Linked DNA regions of Lonchura striata. The protein of the gene in region 2 interacts with the protein of the main gene of each other region in a pairwise test. Links are inferred from orthologs where the notes say so. Each region holds a gene or a part of one and is shown on either strand. Other genes may lie near its edges.

What was found.
Region 1: the proteins of TFIP11 (region 2) and OIP5 interact in binary tests that used the Homo sapiens proteins (3 or more experiments, as listed by UniProt). The two-hybrid records come from large-scale screens. The link is inferred for Lonchura striata from reciprocal best matches to the Homo sapiens genes TFIP11 and OIP5.

The regions. Positions count from the first base shown.
Region 1 is NC_134608.1:37,490,585-37,500,576, forward strand, and holds the start of OIP5 (protein Mis18-beta), read left to right. Parts: upstream 1-5,681; 5' UTR 5,682-5,714; coding exon 5,715-6,030; intron 6,031-6,153; coding exon 6,154-6,220; intron 6,221-7,194; coding exon 7,195-7,317; intron 7,318-7,815; coding exon 7,816-7,897; intron 7,898-9,159; coding exon 9,160-9,234; 3' UTR 9,235-9,992. Other genes in the region: NUSAP1 (nucleolar and spindle-associated protein 1), read right to left, coding at 1-63, 1,647-1,821, 2,842-3,021, 4,071-4,136, 5,252-5,344. UniProt on the Homo sapiens protein: Required for recruitment of CENPA to centromeres and normal chromosome segregation during mitosis.
Region 2 is NC_134620.1:10,620,532-10,631,387, reverse strand, and holds the start of TFIP11 (tuftelin-interacting protein 11), read right to left. Parts: upstream 4,142-10,856; 5' UTR 4,017-4,141; coding exon 3,820-4,016; intron 3,325-3,819; coding exon 3,171-3,324; intron 2,520-3,170; coding exon 2,363-2,519; intron 1,868-2,362; coding exon 1,740-1,867; intron 1,314-1,739; coding exon 1,161-1,313; intron 461-1,160; coding exon 1-460. Other genes in the region: TPST2 (protein-tyrosine sulfotransferase 2), read right to left, coding at 5,909-5,938, 6,053-6,103, 6,798-6,996, 8,430-9,265. UniProt on the Homo sapiens protein: Involved in pre-mRNA splicing, specifically in spliceosome disassembly during late-stage splicing events. Intron turnover seems to proceed through reactions in two lariat-intron associated complexes termed Intron Large (IL) and Intron Small (IS).

The DNA.
Region 1 (9,992 bases), on a different chromosome or scaffold from region 2:
TTGCAGACCTAGATGCACGGCCTACATGTAAAGGGATCTTCCCTCCTGCAGGATGAGCGTTACCTGGTACAGCAAGATTAGAAAATATCATTACAACTCCTGGATGATTTAAAGTAATCACTGTGATTTTAAATATTGTTCCAATGTTTGTTTCAAATCAAACTTTATCTCTTCAAAGTGGGTTCAGGTTTTGAGAAATAAAACCAGCTGGAATAGGTATGTTCTAAGTCTCTCAAAAGTGATTTAATTGATTTGTCAGTAATAATAGATCTTGACAAACCACAAGCCCAGCATGAATCCAAAAGTCATATTAGGTTAGTATCTTATGATAGCAAAATACTTTTCAGGGAAAGTTTACAAGAGAACTGTGCTTGTGACAAACAAAACTTTTAAAAAACATAGATCAAAGCCTGTGAATTTAATGTTGACGCTAAAGAAGAAATAGCTTTTGACCAACTTTTCTGCTACTGCCTTATTTACATACAGAGTCCAAGTTATTTTTGTCATCTCTGTTCTCAGTAACAAGCTCATGCTCACATTTTAATGATTAATTTTATTAAGAAAAAAATGAGGTAGCAACTTTACATCAAGTTCAGCATTTGCATATCAACAGCAAACACTTGTATTTCTGGTTATTCACATCTCCTCAAAAGTAAACTTAGATGATCTCAATATATTGAGAGAAATCCTTATTGGAAACAAATAATGGCATGCAGTTAAAAAACCAATTTGTTGATACTAAATCCAGACACTTGTTACTAGAGCTATAGGAAGAGATGAGCACTGTAGCAACTGTCAGGATGAGTGATGCCCCCAAGCATCCCCCACATAACCTATTGCTTTTGTTTTTAAGAACAACCTTCATAGAAAAACCCACATTTTTGAGTTAGTTCAAAATTATTGGTGGTCTCCCATAAGATTGTCCTTGTAAATCGTAATGAACAATGAGAATATCCATAATAAACTTACAGACTACACACACTGAGCCTAACAGAGCAAATGCAGAAGTGTATCTTAATTGACAGACCCCCTCAATATCAAGAAATTATCAAATTAGGTAAACAAATTAATTTCCTCGTGTCAGCTGCATACACAAAGGGGGATAAATTAATTCATGTTTTCAGTGGCATCATGTTTGAAGGACTAAAAACACCACCAGATGGAAAAAGTGATCCAGTGGAACACATTCAAATACTCTTGGGTATCTCAAACAAATGATAAATGATTCTATGCTTTCTGCTAATTTTACTCCTGGAAAGTAAAATATAAAAGTGTTCACCTTTAGATAAAGATAAATGAACCATAAGGAAGCAACTCCTCCCTTTCTTGCCACCTCTTAGAGGCCAAACAACACCTCAAGGATATTCCAAACGGCACTGATCCTTTTGGAAGTGTAAAACTCAAATACACTCAGATCTCTGAGAATGTCACTAAAAACAAGAGTTCTGAAGTCAAAGTCAGCAAAATTCCTACACTGCAGAATTTGTGGATTTGTGTTACAATGTTAAACAAGTTGCATAAACTCAAACCAGATGAATTTTATTCTGGTATCCCCAAAACAAGGTAATGATCAACAGATGTGCCACAATAAAACTATTTTTTGACTATTCTAAATGAAAGTTACTTTTATCCAATTTTCTACTTACGTTGTTCTCCCCTGCCTTTAGTAGAAGTCTTCTCCGTTTGTTTCTTCTGTCCAGCATCCATCCCTGGATTCTCAATAGCTCTCTCTTCAGTTATTTGGATTTTGTTTTGTGATACCTTTTGTCCCTTTTTGTGCTCACCCTGAGGCACTTCATTTTCTTTAGTTTCAGAATGCATCTGCAATTTAAACATACTTTGTTTAACCAGTTTGTTTCAACTGGATATAAAGAAAGGCTGTTGTTCTGAGAACAGAGACTCAGTGGAACAGATTGCCCAGAGAGGTGCACAGCCTTCATCCTCAAGGCTTTTCAGCATCAGGCTGGACACTGGGCTCTAACCTCATGTCTGAGACTACTTTGGCTGGGAGATTGAGCAAGAGATTTTCTCAAGTCCAAACTGAATTAACCTGTGAAATACTTACCCTGTTACTTCACAAACTTAGATACATTAGAAAGCTTTGATCTGCATAGCTCTCAAATTTTAGTATAAAATTGCCTTTATGGATTAAAGTTAATTATTTGCAAGTAAGATTAAATTCACTGGGGATGTTGCTTTTTACTGTTGTATTTCTGCATACTGTACAATTCTCTAACACTAAAATACTACCACTCCTCATTTTCTCATTTCCTTCCTCTGCCTCAGTTGAAGTCTTTCAGACAGTTCTTAATTTACCTACTCCTTGTAACTCAAAAAAAATTCAACCTCTATCATACCTTGTAACTTTCTCCCTAAGTCACACAACCCTCACAATAAAAGTTACGAGGTTTAGACAATGGTGCAACTTCTGATATTTTTTTCTGTATCAAAAAAGAGATAACAGCCTTATTTTAGATAAATTCTGAAACTAGTCTAAGATTCAGAATATTGCAATTAACTAGTGAAATTAGTTTTACACTCAGATAAAGTGTTTGGAATTGTATATTTCTTAGGGGAATTTATTTTCTTGAAGCAATGACTACCAAGTAATGTCTGTTTATTATGGGATAGCACATAAATAGACAAAAGTCAGTACTACAAAATACAAAATACAAGTACCAGAATGCTGGCATATCAATTTTTGTACACATCTATATACACACAAACACACATATCTAAACACATACCATCTATAAATGGTGATTGAAAAGAAATCAAGTGTGCTTAAATTATGCTCAGAGGAAGGGAGGACAGCACACAAAAGCATGCAAAGCAAATCACCTGTTTCTCATCAGAAAGCACTGGGTTTTCTTCACTGCTATTAGTTTCCTCATGAGAGGTCCTCTTTTTTTTGTCCTTACCACGTCTTTTTGTAATAAAACACACTGAATCAGACATAATTTCCTCCTGATTGCTTAGTTCATCTGACTTAATGGAAGAAGATGCACTCTTTACAGGACCCTGTAGCAGAAAAAAAACTATAACTGGAAGATATCCAACACAAATACAAATTAAATACTCCAGGGACAGTTTCAATTTTATTATTTAAAAAAGTATTTTACACAGAGGATAAACAGTAGCATGCCATGTAGCAGAATAATAATCAAGAAACTGGCACTATCCAGATTCCCCTAAGCATTAAAGCTCATTGTTTGGAGACTTTAAATACAATTGAAATGATTGGTTTATCATATTTCATTTTAATAAGACTATAAAAGCCTAATATTTTTTATTTGAAATCTAACTTGCATGATGCCATGACCCTCCCATATTTGTACATTTGTGGAATACTGTTCACCAGTAAAAACAGGGCTCCTTTCCTGCTCGTGAAAATTTTTAAAAAGCTGACAAGGTTTACACCAGTTCCTCAAATCTTTAAAGATTTTTAAGGGATGCACTTAAAGGCAGATGCATTTTAGAAAAAGCAGATAGCAAACTACTTTAATCAAAAATATTGCCACACTCAACAAAATAATTAATCTTACAGAAAACGTTAAAGAAGTTAGGAAAACAACACATTAAGAGACAAATAAAGGACGTAGCACAACTGTATTGCTTTAATTATAAATGGAAGTAAATTGTCGTAGATGCAAAATGCTTTCCAATTAGTACCTAGTCCCCTTCATTTAGGCATGCAAAATTAATAAAATATTTTTATATTTAGTATAGAATAGTGTCTGTAGCCAAACAAGCAAGAATTAAGGTTTGTTCAGTGGAAATTATGTTATTGTTCACAGAGAATAGGCTTGTATTGATGCTGAAAAATATTGTTAATTTTGGCAGCTGAAAAGAAATAAGATTTAAGTCATATAGGCCACTTCAAAACTAACATTAGCATATCAATTTCTATCAGTATGTAAGTACTTTAACCTAAGGGCACTAAGAAGAAAAAGGTATTTCTATTACAGTTCCAATTGTGGTCAAAATCACCCTTCAGCATATACTCTGCTCTATGAGTTACATATTAAGGATTACATTTCTTAAAAGCAACAGCTGATTTATTATGTTACCATTTTTTCACTTTCTTCTTTTGTCCTTTCAAAGTGTTGCTTCAATGATTCCAGTAATTTGTCTGCCTGAAGAGAAATCAAAACACATGAACCAAACAGTCCATTGAGTCACTGAAGAGCTGCATAAGCCCAGCCCGCATCCTATAAAGTGATCCAACAAACCAGCAGAACATTTCCTGAATCCAAGAGAATGAGGTCTACCTAGGACTCGTTCAAGTCAGTCAGTTAGAGAAAGTGCCTAAGGCCACAGATAAACATGTAGATATCCTCCACCGAGGCACAAAGGCAATTTTCCATGCCTAGGTTTCTCCTGCTCTATTTTCCAGGGGGTTAATATTCAAGGAAGGAGATAAACTGTTTTAAGCCCCATAGCGCAGCTGAACTTGAATTAAAATTGTGTCAAATTTCTGCAATTGCTTCTGTCTTGCCCCGTGCTACGTGCAAAACATTCTTTTCATCCCTGTCACGCATTCAACAGTGATAGTAACAAAACAACAATGAAAACACACCACTGATAAGCCAGGCTATGAAAGACTCTTGAACACCTAAGTGGAAAGGTCAGCACAAAAACAAACAAAGTACCCCAGAACTACCATTCCCAGAAAAACTCTTGGTCTGTGAGGACAGGGAGCTGCCTTGTCCACCCAAGCCGTGGATCCTTCTTTTAAGGCTTTACGAGCTGTGCCATTGCTGCCAGGAGGAGCCCGGCCGTGCCTCACAAGCACCTGCAGCTCCTGGCAGGAGCCTGGGGCATCCTTAAACTTCTCACCCCTTAACCGCGCCCGCCAAACGCATCTCCTCCCTTAAGGTACTCTCTTGTCACTCTTCCTCCCACTCCGAGTCGTAAGGGAAAAAAACAAACCAAACCAACCAAACAAACACAACTATCCGCACTGGCGGCGGACAGCGCGGGGTCACCGGCGTGGGGAACAGCCGGGCCAGCAGAGAAGGGAGCGGCCTCCCCTTCTCGATGCCCGGGGGACACCGGAGCCCCGCTCTCTCCCCACACTGAGTGCTTGCCCGCCTCCCGGACGGCAGCACAGCCCCGGGGCGCCCCGGCGCCGCTCCAGACGCGGGAGGTGCGCCCGGCGAGGCTGGGGACGTCACGCTACCGGGCACGGGGGCACCCCAGAACCCGGAGCTTCGTGGGCAGCGCTGCCTCGCAGCTGCCCCCGCCTCACCCGCAGGTTGGCCCTCAGCCCGGCGGCCTTGGCGATGCGCTGGAGCTCGGCGTATTTCAGCGCCTCCAGGGGCTGCAGCGAAGCGAGCGCCATGACAGCAGCTCCGACCGACCCGCCTGCCCGCCGCGCGCCAACCGACACCGCTCGCGCCGCCCCCGCCGTTCGAACTGGCCCGCTGCGCCAGCCCATTGGCTGGGCCGCCGAAGGGGCGTGGCCGAAGGGGGCGGAGCGAGGGAGCCGCCAATGGCGGCGCGGCCCGCCGCGCGTGCTTATTTTCAAGCGCGATGAGGCGTTCCCGGCAAAGAAAGTCGCGCGCGGTGCAGCCCGCTGCCCAATAGCCGCGGGCGGCGCGGATTGACGCTCCTTCTGTCCAATGGCAATACAGAGGTGCGCACCACGCTCCAATCACGATGCTTACGATGCTTGGGGGCGGGCCCCGCGCCCGAGCGCTTGGCGGGAGGAGATGGCGGTGCGGCAGCGGCTGCGACAGCTGTTCCAGGACCCGCAGACCGTCGGGGCCATTGTGCTGGAGCGGGCGCCCGCCCTTGCCTCTACCGCCTGCGTCTCGCTGTCGGCGCCCCGGACGCCGCCCCGGCCGCCGCCCCTGTCGCCGTCTTCCGTGCCGCCGGCCGAGGTGCCGGCGTCGCCGCCGCGGCAGCAGGGTCCGCTGCCGGAGGAGTGCGCCGTGTTCCACTGCCGCGGCTGCTGGACAGTGCTGGGAGACTCGCTGCAGCTGTGCGGGCAAGAGCCGCCGGGGCTTAGCGTCCTCATCTGCTTCAGTCAGTGCCTCCTCCGCGCCGGCTGGTGCTGAGGACGCGCCGCTGCCCCGCGCGGACCTCGGGGCGGGCAGCGGGGCTTGGTCCGGGGGCTCTCTGCTGCAGCGCGTCTCTCTTTCTCCTCAGGAGTCACCAATGATGTGACCTGGGAAGAGTCGCTGTTGGTCGGCCTCGAGGGAGCCCTCCTGGGATGGTGCGTAGCTCCCGTAGTTCCGGCAGCGGACCTGCCCGAGTGGCCGCCGCGGTGAATCGTGCGCACGAAGCCGGGAGCTCTCCGGCCTGTGCGCGGGGATGCTCAGGAGTTTGGCAAGTCACTGCCAGTGACTTCTGTGCCTGTTTCACACCTCGGATGGAGATACTTTTTGTAGGGATGTAGTTCTCACTTGAAATCGAGATTTTTGCTGCTATAACCTCTGTAGGTGGAGAGAAACATTCGAGCAATGCAGTAGAATACAGCTTAACTTGTAGGTCCCTTTCTTCTCTTCCCTCAAAGGTCTCTTGCTTAAAGCATCTCTGGGTTTTGTTTGGTTTGGTGGGTTTTTGGTTGCTTTGGTTTGGTTTTGCGGGGAGGGGTGGCTATTGGTTGGTCGGTTTTTCTTAATACTGAAAATAAAAAACTTGTGCTGCCCCATTCAGGAACCTATCTTTTGCAAGGTTTGGTAACTCAGTCTAACGGGAAGAATGTAAAATGTCATCTAGGGGCTTACAGAACCAGTAGCTTGTTTAAATGATTTTTAAAAGCTGTTTTATAAACTGTCAGAACTGGGAACTGCTTCAATATAAGACTTGCTCTTTTTTTGACTTTTTTCCTTGCCCCTCTCTCTGCATGGGGTAATGATATATTTTATTAGAATTTTCAACTGGTGCATCCATTATTTTATTATTTAAATTATGTTTGAGTAGAATATGTAAATCATTCTGTGATAATAAGATGTGCATTTTCTTCCTTAACAGCAACTTCACTTATTTGAGAGATTGCTTCTTTCACAACATGCCCAATTTCTTATGGTCATACTACTTTGTACATATTACTTTTCTGAAGAGGATGCGTTATTATGCCTTGGATTTTTTCCCAATGGAACTGAAGATTTTATGCTCTCTGACAAATATGCAATATCTGTGGTTTCAAAAGCTTCTGTTTAAAAACACTTCCCTTTCTCCTTTTAGTACTTATTATTTATTATTCTGTCGATCTTGTGGCTCGGCTGTGGGCTTCATTCTTTACTCTTCTGGCAGTGACCTGGTGTATCTCCGGGACTTGTTCTGTTTCTTCAAGGACAGCATCATGTGGTGAGTACACTGCATTCCATGGTCAGTGACTTCACAGGTAGTTTCAAGTCACTGTACAACTAGCCTACAGCTAACAAAAGTGGTTTAACTTCTGTCTGAGCACATTGGTGTGGGATATTAATATTCTTGATGACTAAATTGTGTTGATGTGAATCCCTTTGATTTCCTTGCACCTCTTGAGTGTCCTTGTGCAATGCAAGACTTCATACTTCGTTGTGTGCAATGCTGAAATCTCTTCAGTTCCAGATTCATTTAGCTAATGTAAGGTATCAAAGTGATTATTTGATTGGTTGAGAACTTGACTGCAGAAGCTGTAAATTACTGAGAGGATCTTGATTCCAAAGTAAAACCATTGCTGTATTTTGAATATTTTCATAATTATTACTTTTGGCAACAACCTTGTATCTGATTTAAAATAATTTTAAATCATCTGTCTAAATAGTGCAACTACAGGTTTTGTAACTGTGTTTTTTTTCCCTTTCCCGTTTTGTTTTCCAGTTATCTCTTAAAAAATCAAATGATTGTAGAAGCTTCTAAGGTCAATTTTCCAGCTGTGACCTTAAAGGAAAACATGCAGAAAGTAAGATTTCCACAATAATGGAAAATACTTTTAAAATACTGATAATTTTGGACATTAATTCAAAAACATTGATACAAATGTGGGGGTTTTAAGTGCTTAGGACTGAGAAACTGCTGCCTTATATGACAATAACTGACTCAATGCATGAGACATGAACATTTTCTAAGACCCCTAAACTGCATAACATACCCAGTTCTAGTTAAATTTTGGCAAAAGTTTGTTATCCTTTTATCTTTATACCTTGCAAAGAAAAAAAACCCAAAAATAATTTATACAGACTTGGCCTAAGCATTACAACTTGTGTTGTCATTGTTGAAGAATTTAAAATCAGAATTTTTTTAATATGAAAGGGATTTTTTTAAAGAGATATTTTTATGTCTGTGCAAGCTCAAAACAGCATGGCAGTATTTGTTGTTTCAGAGAGAACTCTAGGACCTCCCTCCTGTTTTGGTGTTCAAATTGGATGTTCTTATCTGTAACTTGACTAGTTTGTTAGTTAATTGCCTGTGCCTTAGCTCAAATAAAGTTATTGTGTGTAGGAGACAGCCAGCATATCATATTTATGTGATAATTTGTTCATTACTTTTTTTGGGTTTCAGTTTGGATTTTAGTTTCTCTTGTAATGGACCTTTTACATTTCTTTAATTTTGTCCTCTTCCAGTTTCTGTAAGATCAGACTGTTTTTACAGGTCAAGTGAGGCTAAGATACAAAAATCCTATCCAGCTAAAACTTCTGAAGTTGACACATGATTTAGTAATAGTAAATGGCTGAAGTAAAAATATGACAGCACTTCATTGCAAACACAAATTATGTGACTGTAGAGACTTTGCTTATTGACTAGAACAAGCTCAAGCATCTGGCCTTTGCTTTTTGAGACATAATGTCCACATGCATTCCTAAGCTAATGATAAAACAGTTTGTCTACATATTGTCATAGGTTTCTGGCTGTGTGAAAATTTGAGTTAACTAGAAAAGATCCAGTTCATCATAGTAAAACTGCAGCAACTCCATCTTCCATTATGCCCCTGGAAGGACTGATACTGGCACACATTGATCCATCTCTAGTTTGTAGTGTAGCCTTCTGATCTGGGTGCTGGTTTTGTCAGTACTAAACATGCAATATAGAGATCAAGCCCCTCTATACTTTCCCATCTTGAAAATGAGCTGCTCTTTAGCCACTTAAAAGTGGGGTGCAGGTCATTCAAAGGTCCAGTGTTAGGACTTTTTTTGCTAATTTTAATACTCTTCTCTTTTTTCCTAGGTGAAAGAAAAGCTTGTGGACTTGAGTGCTCGCATAGAATTAGTAACAGAACATCTGGATAAAATAACAAAATAATTATGTAAAAGAACGGCAGAACTCTTCAACAGATCAACTGATACACATTTTCAAGAACTGTTGGAAATGTTTCTGCATCTCTGCTGTGTTTGGTCATTACCAAGAAATATTGCACCAGAGTAATTGATCTGTTACTTTATCTGTGTGTGGAACAAACTGATGATGAAGTGCATCCCTTCAGGAACACCTGAGAATCTGACATACTGAAATTATGCTTGGAAGACTGAATAGTTCACCCATGCAGCATGTTACTCTTTGAAGCTGTGTAAATGTGACTTTAGTTTTGTAGTGACTTCAGGGTGAAAACTAGCCTTTGAAATACTGAAGTCAGGTTTCTGGAGCTGTGCAAAACATACTTGGCAAGGTGGAGATATTCAAGAGCAACCATTACAAACTGAACATTCTTAGAGACCTAGAGCTCTTGTCCCACCATTTAATAGACACATTGTTAATGGCAGTCTTGGTTTTAATGGCAGCTAGTTTTTGGTCAAGTGCTCATTAGCTACAACTGATATGTAAGCCACTGCTAAATGGACTCCTGAATAGTTTTGAGATTTGCTAGTGTGTGTTGCCTGCAAAAGCAGCAGACGAGCACATCACAGATGCTGCAGTGTTCTTAGAGCATGAGTCTGGATGGCACCATGGAGGAAGAACACAAGGTTTTGAATTTAAGGTAATGGGCAACCCACGTGCCAGCAAAGTCAGTCCCAGGAACAGGACTGAGTCAAATTCTGCCAGCTAAGGCTGTGAGCAACTGC
Region 2 (10,856 bases):
TGGCCACTGCCAGGTCGACCCTGTCTGACATCCTGTACTCCTCATAGTACTTGTCCTGCAGAGTCTCAAAGATCTTTGCACACTCATCCAGGGTCAGAGGGTTCTCACAGCCCGGCTGCATCCGCCTCTCACACTCCTCCACCATGTCCAGCACCTTGCTGAGGTTGCTGATGGCCTTCTCCTCGTGGGACAGCACCTCAGCCATCTTCTGGATCTCGTGGCTGAGGTTGACCACCATGTCCCTCTCGTACTGCAGCTGCCGGTCGCTCTGGATGATCTCCTGCTCCGTGATGTCGATGAGCAGCTGCAGGTTGTGCTCCAGCTCGGGCAGAGCAAAGCCCTGGGGCTTGGAGTCCTTGCCCAGGGGCTGCTGGGGGCTGTCATCTGGGATGTTGTGCTTGTGGCTGATCTGGCTGTAGCTGTAATAAACCTTCTGCTCCCGGCCCGTCATGTCGATCACCTGCCAGCACACAGAACAAATTCTCTAACAAAAACCTCTCAGCTTCAAAAAAAAAGAAAATCCCTGGCTCCAAATTGAAATCTGGAGATTTTCAAGGACCTTAATTACTCCAGGAGGCTTCTAACATACACTGTATTTGAACAAGGGGATTGCCTCCACAATCAGATATAGGAGTTACAAAAAGTAAGAGACAATCTGGAATCAGAGCCAGAAGAAGCATCTCCTCATCTCATCCCAGTTTCAGTGAATGATTCTACAAGCAGTAATCTTGCCATTAGTTGCTGCACTTAGAACTTTTATAATTTAATAAAGATACTTTAATTTCAGTTTCATAATTTTATTGAATGCACACCAGGCAAAGCCCTTACTGTCACAAAGCCCTTACTGTCCCTTTGAGGTAGAAGATCAAACAATCCCTAAAAGGACAACTGTGCTGTCAGAAGTGGGTGAGTGTTGATTATGACAAATGTGAAATAATTAAACTTATTGCAATTAACCCCCTACACACACATTTAATTAAACTTGTCACCACGTCCAGATGACACAGAGCTATTACATGGCTCAGGGATGAGCTCCATGAGGCTGCACAGGAATTCCTAGGACTGGCTTTACTGAGCTTACTGGTGCCTAAAATGTGCTGGTGACACCAAAGAGCCCAAACTGTTCCTCCACGGGTCACCTCTTGGCTTATCAACCTCACCTTGACCTGGGACAGCTCCTTCTGAGGGGCTGCAAGCTGCTTGCTGATCCTGCCCTTGGCTTTCAGCTCTTCCACTGTCTTGTAGCTGTACTTGGGCTTTTTCTTGCCTCCATTTGGGTCCTTCCGCCACTGGCTGAGCTCCTTCTGAAATTCCTGGACAAAAACAACAGAGTTGTGGTAGCTGCTCTTTGTCACACCCCAATTCTGCCTCTTTTCACAGGAAAATAACCATCAGATCCATGAGGAATATGTATAGGAAATAACTGGGAAGTGGAGAAGCTCATGTAAAACCAGCTTGGATGCTGTGGGCCAGTCACCCACCATGTGGATTAAATGAAGACAAAGCCTATTTATGTAGGGGACTCTTCAAAGGAGGGATTCTAGCAAAACTAAAGAAATAGAGTGAGACAGAAACAACAAAGAACATTACAGCAACAAGGAAGATCAGCCTGAACAAAATCGACATGCTGTGTTTGGCTTGTCTAAAATGAGCCCAGTTTTCTCTGACACACAGAAATCAAGAAAACTGAATTCTGTACATACAGCATAGCAGGGAAACAGCAAGAGCCCCAGGAATACCTCCTCAGTTTCCTCTTCTGAGTCCACCACAGGGAAGTCCTGCAAGGACTGTGGGGTCCTCTCGGAGCCGTAAGCACCCACAGCACCTTTGCCTTTCCTCTGCTTGGCCTCGATGGGATTGATGATTCCTGGCAGGATGGGAATGGGGTCAGCAGGAGCAGTTTGTGTGCTGGGAGAACAGCCAGGCTTTCCCTATGAGTTACCAGATCAGCACCAACACCCTCCCTGGCACTGCCTCCAGCACCGTGGTACTTCCAACATCACCAATTCCCTATAAAATCACTTCATCCCAGCACACACCAAACTGCCAAAGCACAGCCTTACTCCCAACCACATTTCACTGCCTTTTTATTCTGCCACATTAAAACAGCATCTCCTTCCCTGTGGGATGACCACCTTTGGAATTTACTGCCTTTTTTCTTGCTCCTTTTCTCTTGTACAATACCCAGAGGAGCAAACGAGCACAGGTTAGTTTGAACACCCCTGAATCTCACCACAAGGCCCAGATCACTGGCAGGAAAACAAGAAGGAAGTTTAAGCCAGATGGCAGCTCTTTAAGGAATCCAACCTCTCCCCAGAACCCCCAGTTAATAATAATAAACCACCAAACACATTGACAATACCTTGAGCATTCTTCCCCAGACCCCTGCCAGGGACATATCCCATCTTCTGGAGGAGCTTCTGCCCAATTCCTTTAGTGTGTCTCTCCCAGCTGCCAAAATCCACGAAGGACTTGGAGCCCCCTACGAAGCCTTTCTGGCTGGGCTTGAAATTTCCACCCTGTCAAAAACAAACACGTAAAAACCTGCAGCCCTGGGGCTTCAAATAACCAAAATGTGCAAAACTCCCCTCAGAAGGTTCTTCCTCCCCATGCTGGAACCATGCTTGTGCATCCGTGAAGCACCACTGGAGATTCCTGAAATTCCTCAGATGGGAAAGGAAAACCCTGAAAAAACTCTGGCTGACAACCTGACAGTTCTCAGGTTCCACCACCAGATTTAGCTGAAGCTGATTCCTGATTCTTTCTGGTTTTAACTGAAGAGTTTGAGTTTTACTCTATAACATGCCTGGATTTGTTAATTCTGTGAAAGTAGAAAAATAAAGTGTCTGAAAGACAGGAAATCACAGGAATTCTCTTCTTTAAACCTCCATGGACCAAAACGAATATTGAAAAAAATGAGAGGACTGATCCCCAAGGACACACAGTTATACCAATGTACAGTTGTACCAATGATTTATTATCCTGATTTTTATCAATGTATTTGTATCAATGATACAAAATCCCAAGCAAACACTTCCCTGACACATTTGGGTCTCTGGCTTAATTATTCCTCCCTTTTTTTAGTGCTCTATTACATCTCGCTGCCCTCGACCACAGCCTGAGTTTCACAAACCTAAAACAGAGAACAGCAAATTTCCTGGAGAACTCACTGTTTTCAACTTCTTGGGCACAAACTCCTTGGGAATCTCCTCCTGCTTCACAGGTTTCTCATCCTCATCCGAGTCCTCATCCGAGAGCTCCTCGGCCGCCCCCTTCCTCAGCCCAGCGCTCACAAAGCTCACGGGGGCTGAGTAATCCCTGGAGCTGCCAAACAAGAGGGAATTCTGCTCATTCCTGCAGGAGGCTGGGAGCTGCTGTGCCTCACACCTCCCAAAAATGGGATATTAAAGGCTGCCGAGCTGCTTAACCCTGCTTTGCCAGGCAATCCCCATCCTCCTCTGCGTGCTGCAGGGAGAGCACAGGGAAAATCCCTACAGGTGAGAGGGGCAGCCCAGCCGGCGATGTCCACAGCTGGGAAAGACGCAGGGAATGGGGGGAAAAGCTCCAGGGAACGGGCGGGGGGAAGCTCCAGGGAATGGGGGGGGAGCTCCAGGGAATGGGGGGGAAGCTCCAGGGAACGGGGAGGGAGTTCCAGGGAACAGGGAGGGAGCTCCAGGGAATGGGGGGGGGAGCTCCAGGGAACGGGGAGGGAGTTCCAGGGAATGCGGGAGAAGCTCCAGGGAATGGGGGAGGAAGCTCCAGGGAACGGGGCAGCTCCTGGGGTCCCTGAGCGGCCCGGGGGTCGCAGCCCGGCCGCACCGCTTCCCGCCGAAGCTGGGCCGCTCCTCGTCCGAGTCTCGCTCGGCCCACACGCCGTAGGTCGCCTCCTCCTTGGTCTGGCGGTGTCGCTGCCGGTGCGGGTTGAATTCGTTCTGCAGGTCCCAGTCCGACACCTCGAAGCTCTCCATCTCCACGCCATCGTCTCCGTCCGTGCCGTACAGGTGCGACATCGACATCGCGGCACCGCCGGGATGTCCCCGGCCCGCTCAGGGATCCCCGGCCCCTCAGGAACTCCTGACCCGGGACCCCGGCCCCCTCATGGAGCCCGGCCCCGGCCGCGCCGCCACACCGGATGCGCCGCCTTCACTTCCGGTCGCCGGCACGCGCGCGAGCCCCGCCCCCAAACCATCGAGTCGGCGCGGCCGCGCAGGTGGCACCGCCTTGTGGGGAGTAGAGGGGGAGGAGCCCGCGCGATTAATAATTAAAATATTAAATATCAAATCAACGCTTTAATGGTGTTCGACACCAGGGGTGGGGTGGGGGGCATATATTAACTCTGCAATAGCCTCTGCAGGGTCAGGGAGGCGGTGGGGGGGGAGGGCACACGCACCACAAAGGCTCTGCAGGGCCAGGGGGGCTGTTCCTGACCCTGGGAATTGGAAACAGTAGGACCAGGGTGGCTCTTCCCGATCCCAGGAATACGGAACAGCAGGGATGGGAGGGCTGTTCCTCCCACACCGGGAACAGGATCACGAGACACACACACACGCCATGTACAGAATCCTCCAGGCACGGCACGGGAATCTCCTCCCGTCCCCCCGGCTTTCCACAGCTGCATTCCCCACGGAGCGCTGCGACCGGCCGGGGACGTTCCCGCCGTGGAGCACGTTTGGCCTTTGCAAATAAATGCAAATACATTCCTGGAGCGCAGTCATTTGGCAACAGTAGGAGCAAGCAATATGCTTGGAGAACAGATTTCCACGGGCCCACTGCACGCTCTTCCTTCTCGGGCAACAACAGGCTGTTGGCAGCGTTCTGGAAGAGACAAAACACAGAACCTCAGGAGCAGGACTTCTTCAGGAGCAGGATCCCCTCAGAGCCAGGATCCCCTCAGGAGGAGGATCCCCTCAGGAGCAGGATCCTGTGAGGGCCAGGATTCCCGCAGGAGCAGGATCCTGTGAGGGCCAGGATTCCCTCAGGAGCAGGATTCCCTCAGGAGCAGGATCCTGTGAGGGCCAGGATTCCCTCAGGGCCAGGATCCCCTTGGGAGAAGGATTCTCTCAGGAGCAGGATTCCCTCAGGGCCAGGATCCCCTAAGGAACAGGATCCCTTCAGAAGCAGGATCTTCTCAGGGACAGGATTCCCTAAGGAGCCCCTAAGTAGCAAAATCTCCTCATGGGCAGGATTCCCTCAGGGTCAGGATCCCCTCAGGAGCAGGATTCCCTCAGACTAGCACAGCAACGCCTGACTGAGGGTTTAAAGATGACACAAAAAATGGCCAGAAAGGAACCAATTCTCAGCTCAGTACAAGGGGGATACACAATTCCTGATCTTCCCTCAGTGCTTCTGATCTTTTTCTAGCCCATATGCTTGTAGACAGAAACTTGCTCTTAAAGGATTAGTTTTAGTACCAAGAATGGTATTTTATGCTTTAGCATGGAGGAAGAACATCCAACACATCAACAGTTGTCTCTGGAACAGCAGCCCAAGGCAGCAGCTTTGTTTTCCATCATGTTTCCCTTTGTTTTCTATCCCCTTCCTCAGGTCCATGGCACGTCTTTGGAGGCAGCTGGGGAGCAGCCCAGCTCATCCACGCATTCCATGTGTCCCTGCTACCCGCAGGGATGGGCTGCAATAACCCTCCCAGGCAGCTGAGTTTCATTTTGCAGCTTTAATCCCCTTCCCAGAGCTCAGGAAAAGAATTCCTTACAAATGGTCCCACACAGCAGCATTGTGTGGGAAGATCGGAGGCGACTGTGAAGGATCCCTGGCACCAGGAGTGTGCCTGGAACCCCAGCAGATCCACAGAAATCACACAAACCAAGTGCTGGTCCTGGAGCAATGCAGGATTTGCCCAAATCCCCCAAAATTAAGTAAATAGGGTCTTACCTGGAAATCATTAATTTTCTTAGTGAGAAGATGACGTGTTCTGAGTCACCTGGAAGAGCCCCAGAAGAGAAGGGTCAGCTTTGAGCCAGCATTCCTCAGGGAAGGGAGCAGGGAACGGGTACCCTGGTGTGTCCCAAACCCTCAGGGTACACCTGGCTCTTACCTGCAGGTGACCTTTGAGATTGGCCGGTGTTTTATAATCCCCCTTTAAAACCTGTGGAAAGAGAACCTGGAGTGACTCCCTGGGGCAGTGGAATCACCTCTGGGTCACTGCTGTCAGCCATTCCCAGCCTTGCCAGGGGAAAGGCTGCACCTTGAGTGCTCTGTCCTGCTGGGCCCCTCTCCAAAACAGATATGGAGGGGCTGGAGCACATCCAGAGAAGGGAACAGAACTGGGGAAGGGGCTGGAGTACCAGGAGCAGCTGAGGGAGCTGGAAAAGGGGCTCAGCCTGGAGAAAAGGAGGCTCAGGAGGGACCTTCTGGCTGTGCACAGCTCCTGACAGGAGGGGACAACTGTGGTGGGGTCATGCTCCCAGGGAACAGGGACAGGAGAGAGGAAACTGCATCAAACTGTGCCAGGGGGAATTTCCTCATGGAAAGGGTGGTCAGGCTTTGGAAGGGGCTGCTCAGAGGGGTTTGGAATCCCCATCCCTGGAGGTGTCCAAGAAATGTGTTCCATGTGCCACTCAGTGCTCTGGGCTGGTGACAAGGTGGGGATCGGGCACAAGTTGAACTCGATGGTCCTGGGAGACCTTTCCCATCCTGAATGACTCTGGAATTCTGTGATTCTGTTTTCCCTGTGTGAGCCTGTTTCCCCCCTGCTCCATCCCGATCTGGTTCAGGAGCTTCCCTTGCTCCGAGGGCTCTGTGAGCCCCTGGCCTGTCCCCTCCATGGCAGTGCCACTCACCCTGTGCGTGTTGTTGACAACCAGCGGGTCGGGGTGGCCGTAGTTGGGGGGGTTGGCGTAGGGGTCGTAGCCGAGCCTGGCGAGCATGGGGGCGATGTGGGCCATGTCCTGCAGCACATCCTCGGGGATGTGCCCGATCCATTTGGATAACGCCTCCATGTTCACCGGCTTGATCACCTGGTCTGTTGACCTCTCTATCCTGGGGAAAATAAAGGACGAAAACAAAAGACACAGTGGTTGGATTTCATGCGTGTGCTGGGCTCACACACAGCTCGCTGCCACCTCCACACAGAACCACAGGACAGGACCTTAAATCCCATCCCATCCCACTCCCTGCCATGGGCACAGACACTTTCCACTATCCCAGATTGTTCCAAATCCTGTCCCACCTGGCGTTGGGCACTTCCCTGGATGGGGTAGCTTCCATCCCTCACAGCCCTGCTCTGGGGAAGCAGACCCTGGCAGGGGGTTCCACAACCCCAGAGGCTGGGTCCTCCTGTTTAGCATCATGGAATCATTAAGGCTGGAAAATTCCTCTAAGAGAGTGAGTCCAAACATTCCCCCAAGACTGCTGAGGCTACCAACCACTGACCCATGTCCCCAGCTGCCACATCTACACAGCTTTTAAATTCCTTCAGGGATGGTGACTCTACCACTGCTCTGTTCCAATGCTTAATTACTCTTTCAGGGAAGGAATTTTCCTTTTGATCCAACCTAAACCTCCTCTGGCACAACTTGAGGGTGCTTCTCTTTTCCTACAGGAGGGATCCATCCTGCACTGGGACAGGGGGTTTCACCAGGACACCTCTCCTTATCAGAGGAAAACAATGTAAGATGTGTGGGCTGTAGCACAGATTAGTGACCCCTATGAATATTCAAAACCTGATCTAAGCAACCTGGACCAATTTACTCTGAGCAAACAGGGAAGTAGAGCTGGCTGCACTCCCAGGGCATCCCAGAAAACTGGAGCAGCTGCACATCCCCCGTGGCTCCTGTGCCCTCAACATGAGGGCACCAGCAACTGATACAGAGACTTGGATAATTCCTTTACACAGCTGATTAAATTTTGCTAAGCCTGACTTAAGCCTCCATTTAGAAAAGAAACAGCATTAAAAGAAGAAAAGAAAGTGGGAGAAGGCAAACACCCCCCACACATGGAGAGGGCAGGAGAGACTGCTGGGTGTGCCTCCACTGAGCAGGTATTGCTTTTATTCTGCAATACCAACCCCAGACCTGGAAAGAACTATAGCTCATCATCATTGGCAGCACAACTAATCACACCAAAGATGCATCTGAGGACGGGTGGAGAAAGAGGCATTAAAGAGCTCACGTTTCAGAGTAAGCAGTTCTTTGCAAATTAGAGACTGAAATAATTTCTGCAGTGTCAAGAGAGATTAAACAGTCACCTGCTCCTGAAATCCTTGCTTGACAAGCTGTTCTGTGGAGTACAACAGATTGGGAGCATTAAAGCCATCTCTTACTTGGGAACACAAACGCCACTGCAGTACAACGTGCTGTCCCTCCTGCCCTAAAACCACACGCAAACACCAGCAACGCAGCTCTGTCCCCAGTTTTAGCCTGCTTTGTGCAGTGAAAACTCCTCAAAAAGCTGAGGAAGGAGCCAAGACTCACTTGGAAAGGGACACCCCACCAGGCTTCCCGATGAGCTCCTCGTGGTGCAGCACCGTGTCGCTCCAGGAGATGTCCAGGAACCTCATGATGTTGTGCATGGACTGCTCGGGGTGCAGCACCAGCTGCTCGTAGTAGACAGGCAGGCAGCGGGCGCGGCCGATCTCCAGGCACTGGGAATACATCACCTCGATGGCCTTGTTCCACTTGGTCAGGCAGTCCCGGTAGCTGTTCAGGTCAAAGCCGGCAATCGTCACCTTGCGCGTGATCATGGAGTGCACCGAGGCGCGCCCGTCCCGCACCATCAGCAGGAACTTGGAGTTGGGGAACAGCCGGGACAGGTACACCGAGGACTTGAGCGTGAAGGGGTCCTTGTTGCACAGGTACCTGGCGGGCTCGCCGTGCTTGGCGATCACTTCCAGGATGAAGGCCTGCATGGCCGCGTCCAGCACCTGGTCCGTCACCCCCGCCTCGTCCAGCCGCATCTTCTCGCGGCCGGACTTGGACCAGGCCTGGCGCATGGCCAGCACGCGGGGGATGATGCGGGTCTCCTCCCCGCAGCGCACCTCGGGGTGGGCGTCCAGCATGGCCCTCATCAGCGTGGTGCCGCTGCGGGGGACGCCGCCGATGAAGATCAGGGGCATGTCCTTGCTGTACCGGTACTCCACGTGGTTGGCGTCCACCATCACCAGCTCCTCGTTCTCTGGCCTCATCAGCCTGTGCCTCCTCTCGCTCAGGACCTGCTGGCACTCCAGGACCTGCTGCCCGAGGTGCAGGGTCACCATCAGGGCCGCCACCGAGCCCACCAGCAGCAGCACCCTGCGCGTGGTGACCCGCATCCTGCTCTCCTGGGCACAGGCTGGGGGCTTCAGCTCTCCGCTAGCGAGTGTCCAACCTCACGGGCATCTGCAAGAGAACAGCACTGTCAGAGCAGCGGGGCCAGCCCTGCTCTGATGGGATGCTGACACCATCCCAGATTTCATCACCTCCTTCACTTATCAGCACCTCCTTCACTTATCAGCACCTCCCAGGCTTGGTGCCCTACACCCAGCAGGTAATTAAAGTCTGTCTCAGTGCACACCCAAAGAGAGAATTTCTGCACTGTTTGTGCTCCCAGAAACACAGGTTACAGCTGGAGCAAAGCTCCAGGAACGTTTTGGAGAGGAGGAGCCCTGTATACTCAGGGAATCCTTAAAACAAAATCTTTACAGAGCCTGTTCCATCCCAGATGAAGCCCAGACCCAAGATGAGGTTTTTCCTCCCAAACCCAAGTCAGCACTCCAGCACCGCTCACCTCTCAGCCACCTGCATCCTCCCTACATTTTGTTTAGTTTAACCCTGTGGTCACAGGAGAGGGGAAAGCTGAAATAAGAGAAAAACAAAAGCCTCTCATGCCAGCTTTAAGGGTCTGAATCAGGAGAAACCGTTAGAAGGAAACGCTGAGAAATTCAACCACCTGAGAGTGAACAGCCACACGCAGCGTTCACCACCCTGCCCTGCCTCGCAAACTGACCTGACGGAGAAATCCGTGACACTTCATCTGGCACCGAGACTTTTTGGGGTTTTCCACGGCTCGGCAGGACATCCAGCAGGCAGGCTGCAGCTTCTGCAAGTGCCCAGCTCAGCTGCGTGCCCGGAGGGACTCCCGGGAATGCTGGCACCGCTTCCCACCCCCTCCCCCCCATCCGCCCCAGTTGCGAGTGCAGGTTTTGCAATCCTCCCCTGGGCTCACCCCGGGATTTCCAGTTCTTTGTGATTATGTGGCTGGGGCAGGAGCTGAATGGAGTGGAAGGAACGGGCCGTCCATGGATTCTGTTTTGCTGACAGGCCAAAGAGCTGCTCCAGAAAAGTGCTTTCTCCCCTCCACGAAGGAACACATTGTGCAGCAGCCCAATGCGGAGCAGGGAGCAGGCAGGAGAGAGCCTGGAGCTGGGCAGCTTTCCTGCTTCTCCTGCCAGGCACTGAGGGACTCACTCTGCTCCCCCCTTCCAGTCCCTGACATCCCACTCCACCATCGTGGACTCATCTCCCATCTACCCACCGGCTTTTATCCACCCCTGCCCAGGCAGTGCCTCTCTCTCACCCCAGGGATGCCCTCCCCCATCCCAGCAGCACAGCAACATCACCACCAAAAATATTTTTGTGGCTCTTTACTCCCTGGTCCACCCTGACCAGCTGCTTGGTAACATACCTAAGGCTAAACAGCCTCAGCTGCATCCACAGGTATGAGGTAAAGTGGGTGGATTTGTTGGGATGTAGATCAGAGGAACAACCAACAGCTTTGGCATTTTTGCAGCACCAAGCAGAGTCTGAGCTATTAACAAGACAAGTGCTGCTCCTTCCTGCTCTCTTCATCTGTTTCTGTCATGTAAATATATTCAAATGTTCACCCCAAAATAATTGCAAATGCCACAAGACCCATTTCAATGG